Linked DNA regions of Bombyx mori. The protein of the gene in region 1 interacts with the protein of each later gene in a pairwise test. Links are inferred from orthologs where the notes say so. Each region holds a gene or a part of one and is shown on either strand. Other genes may lie near its edges. The genes, in order: 5'-3' exoribonuclease 2 homolog and TAR DNA-binding protein 43.

Region 1 (3,935 bases):
TTAGGAGCACCCTGTATATTAAATATTATATATTACATACATATATAATTGATCTAGAAAGAAGATTTTCTACTAACCAAGTTGCCCGCAAACATCACAGGGTCTCGGTTTATTAGGCTTGAATTCCTCACGGATGATAGTGAAGTTTGGCTCGTGAGTGGCCAGACCCAGCATGATTAAATCAGCATCAGCACCGCACAAAACATGCTGAGTGTTTGGGTCGTGGTCTGGTTGCGCTGTTGAAGGGATTATAGAGTTTTCTTAGGTTGTAAAGTTAGTCTGATAAATAGTATGTCATCTATTGGATTAATTCAAGGTTAATTCAAATTTTAAGCATAGAAACATCAAAATACACTATGCACATTTCATTGTAACAAACAAAATAGTTATGAGTTAAATCACCTACAGGTTTATGTTCTGTTTATTTTGCCACATAACTCCCAAATGTTCTGGGTCAATCGGTGATACAGCTTTTATACATTATCATTGAGATTTTCAGAGTGTCTCACGGTTAGTGAGAACATTAAGGTTCAGATATCTGTAGTGAGATAACTCAACAAACAGACTCAATATCAAATGGGCTGTGAAAAGTCTGTCCATTTCAAAAATAAAGTAATATCAATTTAATTAATAATGTCAATTATTACTGTAAAATTGAGGTTTATTACATTACAGTTTACTCAAAATCTGACGGTTAAATTGTCTTGTGCGCCCTGATGATTAGGTACAATCACCGTACTTCTGCTGCAAAGCAATAATGTGTGCTAGTCTGGGCTCCAGTAACCAATGAACAGCAGGAGAGCTTGTTCAATCCTGTATACAAAAGAAACCTCCACTAATAAACGATAACTAACCTCTTTGTCTCCTAATGTAGTCCATAATCTTATGTTCTCCTTCCCCAGGAACATTTGCATCAGATAATATAACCTTAATGCCCTTCCATCCGGGGTCATTATTTAATCTAAAAAATTAACAATATTTTGAAATTATACAGGACAAGTTCTCCACAAGCACATTTTGTCCAACATCATAGGTGGCAGAGCATTTTGTGAGCCTTCCTATCACAATGCAGATTTTTTATCTAAGCGGTACTTTTCATCAATGTGTACGTCTGAAATAGGCTAAAGTCCTAGTGTTTTAGGCAGTAGACAGAGCATGTCTGTTAAAATTAATAAAAAATTTGTTCGACAATATTAATTTAACCTTGAATGAGCCAAAAATCACCCAAGGTGCACCGACAGCATGGTGAAGTGTTTCACCTTCATGACTGTCCCTCGGGATCAAACTTTGGACATTCATTATTATAAAAATTAGTCTTAGACCTCATATTTTGAAGGTTGTGTGGCAATATTGTGTTAACAGACTCCAGTTGCCACTTAATACCAATTGGATCTAGCTTGTTATCCTGAAGCAGTAAATAAAAAACGCAAAGTTGCTGGCAGAAGTCGCATGGATATAAGTAAAGAATCCCTACCTGTCATGTATGTAATAATGCAGACACTTGCTCAGTCTGTCCATGAACGGTGTCCCCGGTGTGATACAATTAGAATCAAAGTGAGCTTCCTTAGGCCTCTCTGGTGGTAAGTATGCTCCTTTAGCCTGAAGTTCATTACGGATGCGAGCCACTTCCTCAATCTTCTCTTGGGTTTCTTTGGACGCACGGAAACGTCGAGAACGTTGCTGGTTCATTTTAGCTCTTGGAGCCTTGAATTAAGATTCAAATTATTTTGATTGCAAATTTTTATTTTATTTCTATTTACTCATCCTTAGAATTTAGGTCATAATATCTATAGTCAAAGTTCCAATAAAGCTAATTATTTTACTAATGAAACACAAATAGACATTAATGACTGGGATTTGATTCATTAGTCATCCTTTTAAATACATAATTATATAAATCACAACTATAAATGCTATAATTTTGTAATGCATTCTAACCAGCTTATGTACATTTAATAATAACTTTATAAATTAATACATACCACTCCATCTATAGCCATATACAACAGTTTCCTAGGCCTCACAATACGAAAAAGTCTGTCAATGCATTCAAAGATGGCAACCATCATCTCATCCTCATCTTTTGGTGCTGGTTTATCCTCGGGATGGGTGCATGGATGGATGATACCATTCATGTCCAGGTATAAATTGTCAAACTCCACTCCATTTGGATTAGGGAGGGAGGAATCTACATATACTAACTGGCCATCTACGTCGGTTGGCTGAAACGTCAATTTTATTATATATTTTCTACCACTTTATACGTGACAAGTAGACGAAACAAATAATGGCAACAGCTGGACAACATGTTGAGTCTTGGCTGTAACATGTGACCAGTGGGGTCGAGACAGATGTTTATGTGTACTAGACATCTGTAATTACATTGAATGATTAAGGTCTTAAGTAAAATAGCATCCACTTGGTGGTGAGTGAATAATTAAAACTCTGAACGATGACATTTTCTTAGAATGGAGAAATGAATAATAGGAATGGAAATGTTGACAATCTTGTGAAACAATCTTCAGAACTTTAGTCATGCGCGTCATTTGGTTCTTTAGAGCTTAATCACAAGATGGAAGTTACCAATACCATTACTGTAATACAAGGTGAGCATTTTAACTAAACAAAAAAAGGCGCAGTTTTAGAGGTCGACTTGCGAAGAACAGCCCGACAACATTGCGTAATTATTGCTTTTCTTGTTAAAATACTTATTTTATAGTGATTTTCGATACAGGCACCACGTATATTTGTTTTGCTAGACCCTCAAAATAACTGTAAATAACGATTTTTAGGTTATTTTTCATTTACCTTTTGTTCAACACATTCCACTATTACACTTGGATATTTTCGGCTGAGCCAGCGGAAGAACGCTGGAACTCCCATTATGTAACACTCGTCTTAATTTTTATTGATGGTGATTAAATGTTTTTTGTGTTTTATTTGTCACGTATTCAACACAAACAAATCGACGCAGGTGCCATTTTAAGTAGAGAGAGAAAGCTGACAAACAAAGCAGGATAGCACTAAGAACACACTATTTCGTTCGGAAACAAGATTAAACCTTGATCATGGAGTTAATAAGTACCTACAATAGTAACTCTATGACCTTGATAGAGCACTTCTTAATAAAAAGAGAATTTTGTTCATTCTTTCCACCGATGTTAAGGCATACTAATAGTAATTGTCCAAAACAGAGTTTTAGTTTTATCTACCGAATCTGTGTGTATTGAAAATGTTTTTTTTTGCTTCACAAAATTTTGAAAGTTCCTATGTAGGTAATTTCTAATGAAGCTCAAAAGGCGTAATCATTAGTAAAATACTTGTTAAATATTACTGATCACTTTAAATACGAATACACAATACAGATTCAAAATGGTCTAAGAAAACATTTTTCCTTTTTAAGACCTTTTTAAATATGTTTTACATTCACAGCGCGGGTTAAAACTTTTTGGTGGTAATGCGAGGAGCAAAGATATTTAAATTGCTTTATTTTGCTAATTAAACGCTTATCTAGGATTGAACGAGTAACATTACTGGCCGTGTAGCGTCTACTAAAGTGTATAAATACAGAAAAATTAAACCATGCTAGTATACTTGGGTTTTCAGGTTCTTTTAAAATATTCATTGAACTTTTTATTTATCTATAATGGTCACAGGAGTCCAGAGTCATCACAACTTGCATATTAGCCATAGACCTTTAAAGTACATCAGTGATATTAGCTCCATCTTGACACACGACGAAAACTCGAAAGTATTTTTCCTTCAAACTGGAATATAAGACGGTTTCGGGGTAGTCAGGATAATAGTATTTACACATGCAAACTTACAATTCACTCTACTACCAGTAAGCGCTACATGGCAATCACAGTACGCTGGCTATGAAGTTGAGAGAGCCCTGCTGCTTATTTTCTCTTCCTCGCCTTTTACGAAACACA
Region 2 (3,934 bases), on another chromosome or scaffold:
TTTTAAATGTATTTTTCAATATAACAACACTTGTATACTATCTAATAAACTTTCAAACAGAGTATCTATTTTTGTAATAAGGCAAATTGTTGGATTAAATTGACTGTAGCACAATATGTGATATGATATACATATATCGCTAATTTCAAAATAACATTTATCATACTATCTATCCTATATACATTTTTTTTTGCCAAAGTGTGTATATTTTATATCATTGTACATATAAATTGAATGCTAATTTTAACGAAATTTTATAGTCCACATTTTAACATATTTTCATCTCGATTGTGACTGTTCTTAAGTATGATTAGCATCAAATAGATTTAAAAATAGACATTTATTCAATTTCAACATTTTTATAGGCTTTTATATATTATAATTATGTAACAGTTTGAGTTCTTGTTATTGTCCTTGAAAATATGGGATAGAGATAAAAGTAACACCTGCATTTTCTAAAATAGGACTTGTTTATAATCAGCAATTTTTTTTTATAAATTATAATAGGATTTAGGTAATTTTGCAGTAACTTTTTCATATCCATTTGTATTTCCTAATGTAAGGTCTAGCTAGCTCTTACAAATGGTATGAGATTTCAGATTAGTGATTGCAAGTTACATTGTAATTATGATATTATCTGTACATCTATGGTACTATTAGTGTACAAAGTAAGAATGAATTCAAACAAATCCAAACTTGCTGATAAATATTATTTGTCATAGAGAACAGAATTGCCGTGTTTTAAATTAAATTGTAATTGTATAGTCATAAAGATGTGAATATTTTTCAAAACATCATTTTAATGTAAATTCTGTTCTTAGATTTATTAAGGGAAGTTACTGTTAATTTTGTACTTAGATGGTTATATTACTTTACCTACCATTATCTCATTTATGGACGGACGGCCCTAAACATGACAATGTAAAAATTACAAAAATCTACCTCAAAGTTGAGGAATCTGTTGATTACATCTCAGCTCTAATTAGTTATGTCGATATTTATTAGTATTTTTAAGTAGTAATATGAAATGACAAATAAAAGCACAACAACAATCTTAATCTAAAACATATGATACAAGTATTACATAATTTTTATACAGAAACTGCTTGTAAAGTGTTATGTTTTGTTATGGTGCATAATTTTATCTATCTAGGATAAAATTCATAAGAACAAAATTGAAAACAAGCAATTCCATAAATAAATAACATCATTAGCAAATTTTTAGGTTAACCACTTGCCACCAACAACAACCCATCTTTTACTGAAGAGAAAAACAAGTACTATTTATCTAAAAAATGTTGCTACAATCACAGAGATTATTGTGAGCTTGTCGAAATATTGATCAGACAGAGTGGCCTTGGGACTGATGTCTTTGTCCCCACTGACTAGAGGGTCCTTGTGCTGAATTACCTTGTTGCATCCAAGACAGGAAGTTTGGTGGTGCTGGAGGTGCCGATGATGCTGGACCAGCAAAGGCACCTTGTTCTGATGCACCTGAAGGGATGTTGTTGATAAGACCCCAACCAGCTGCCTGGTTAAGAGCTGCTGCTACTAAAGCTTGATTTACAGGTAGTCCTCCCATTCCTATAGGCATACTGCCACCTTGTGCTTGTCCTCCACCACCAGCTACAGCTGTTTGTCCATGTTGACCAGACATACCAAGTGCTTGCATATTAACCATATCCATGTTTCGGTTGCTCCAAGAATTATTATTAGACACATTGTGTGGATGACCTTCATCATAACTTCTACTAGGCATGGCACGTTGGTTTGTACCACTTTTGTTTTGCTTTGGAGATGCATTCGAAACATTAACAGAAACACCTTTTATTATATGGTCTTGCCCACATAGACTCTGCGCAACTTCTGGGTCAAGAAATGTTATAAAACTGAATGCCCTAAATGGTTTTGGGATGAACACATCAGTAACTTCTCCAAATTGAGAAAAATACTCTCTCAAGTCATTGGCAGATAATTCTTCAGTACAGCGGCCAACAAAAACTTTACAAGGCATAGATGGTATAGATCCTTCTTTGGAATTTGGTATCCTTACATCACACCACCTCCCATCAATCATGTGCCTTTGAGCAAGAACTCTCATTTGGGATGTATAAGATGCAAATCGAATAAAAGCGAAACCTTTAGACATTCCCGTTTTTGGGTCTCTTTTCAGCTGAGCCATTAATACTTCACCAAATTTTTCAAAATATTCTCGCACTGTCTGCTCTGTGGCTTTCCAAGGGAGTCCCAAAACTATCAGGTCCGAACATAAGGTGTCATTTCTTTTATGTCTCATAATTGTGGACTCGGAATTTTCACCAAGTTTGCGTTTATTTTCTTTAGGAAAACTACATATATACAAATAATTTCCCCATCCTTCTGGAGGAGGATATAGTCGACCATCTCTTAGTCGAATTCCCCTGATGGTTTTCGTTTCAGGGTGTCGATATTTCAATCCGCAGCAACCTGGAAACTGTGCAGACACAGTCGATAGCATCAAAGCTCCATCTTCTTCGATAGGCAGTTCTATGGGTTCTTCATTTTCGTCTTCAGCAACGGGCAAATACTCGAAAGACATTATTTATTCTTCATGAACAATATAGTTAAAATCTGATGAAAATTAACACAATAACTATACTTATTACTAGAAAATTGTATAATTTAACTTCATCTAAAATAAATAAAATTTAATTAAACGTCACCTACGGGTTACGAACCCATTGCAATTTGCAGGTTGAAAACATATGTTAACCAAAAGGTTTTGAACAATAAATTTAGAAAATATCAAAGTGATTTTCAGGGCATGGAAGTATCAATATTGAGAAGTTGGAGTATAGTAATAGACAACTTTCTAAAATTGACATTTTACATCACTCACATACTTTGTTTTTTTTTGGTCATAGCAATACAAAAATCTAGACACTGTGCGTCCTACTCGAAGATTGAAAACGAAGTGAAGAGTTGTATTTTAGATTTCACACAAAACACGATGCATTTGTATTGCAGTTGCATTGTTATTATACGCAGACTTTGTTACAACATAAGTCTGTACATGTCCTCTTTGCCTGTCCTAAGAATGATTCAATTTGAAAATAATTTTAAAAAAGGGCAAAAAATATTTTAAAAAATACGGAGGTATATAACTTCAGACTTCAGGGCAGGATTAGCAGCTTGACCTCTATTTAAATTATATTTAACGACTTAGTATTTCTTTTTGGGGGATTATATCAAAGGTAATGTATTCCACAGAGTCCGATTTTTTTTTAATTGCCCGGATAGGCAGACAAGCTTACCTGATGGTGAGTAGAGTTACCGTCGCTCATGGACGTCAACAATGCTAAGGGGAGAGCCAAGCCGCTGCCTACCATTAAATATTCTCCACAAGCTTCGTTTGAAGAAGGACATGTTATAGCGTTCATAGAGGGGAGCTCATTCCAAAGCCGGATGGTACATGGCAAAAAAGATCTCTGGAAGCGCTTTGTGGATGAACACAGTGGTTCTAGGTACTATGAACTATGAACACCACTGGTGGGCGGTGCGATGGTAAACCCGAGATGTTGGAATCATCTGAATTAATTCCTCAGAGCACTCCCCATGGAACATGCGGTACAAAATACAGAGAGAACCGAAGACCCTCCGCAGATCCAGAGGTTCAGAACGATCCGTGAAAATGGGATTTCACCTATGCGAACGGGCCAGTTCTATATGGAGTCAAATAGAAGTAGTTGGTCTGAGTGTTGGAGTTCGAAATGTCGGAGGAATTCGCATTCAAATCAGTTAGGTTAGCGCAGCATATGACACCGTAATCTCAAAGATGCCAAATCATTTAGCAAAACTAATTTTTCGCAGAATGGAACTATAAAGTGACAGAGCCTTCGATCATCAATAGTAACTCTGGCGACAATCGAGATGCATTCTGTACACGTGATTGCTA

The links.
Region 2: the proteins of 5'-3' exoribonuclease 2 homolog (region 1) and TAR DNA-binding protein 43 interact in binary tests that used the Homo sapiens proteins (3 or more experiments, as listed by UniProt). The link is inferred for Bombyx mori from reciprocal best matches to the Homo sapiens genes XRN2 and TARDBP.

What each region holds. Positions count from the first base shown.
Region 1 is NC_085131.1:902,847-906,781, reverse strand, and holds the start of 5'-3' exoribonuclease 2 homolog, read right to left. Parts: upstream 3,005-3,935; 5' UTR 2,884-3,004; coding exon 2,809-2,883; intron 2,223-2,808; coding exon 1,983-2,222; intron 1,705-1,982; coding exon 1,475-1,704; intron 962-1,474; coding exon 855-961; intron 237-854; coding exon 78-236; intron 1-77. UniProt on the Homo sapiens protein: Possesses 5'->3' exoribonuclease activity. May promote the termination of transcription by RNA polymerase II.
Region 2 is NC_085116.1:8,096,911-8,100,844, forward strand, and holds the start of TAR DNA-binding protein 43, read right to left. Parts: upstream 2,951-3,934; 5' UTR 2,579-2,950; coding exon 1,343-2,578; 3' UTR 1-1,342. UniProt on the Homo sapiens protein: RNA-binding protein that is involved in various steps of RNA biogenesis and processing.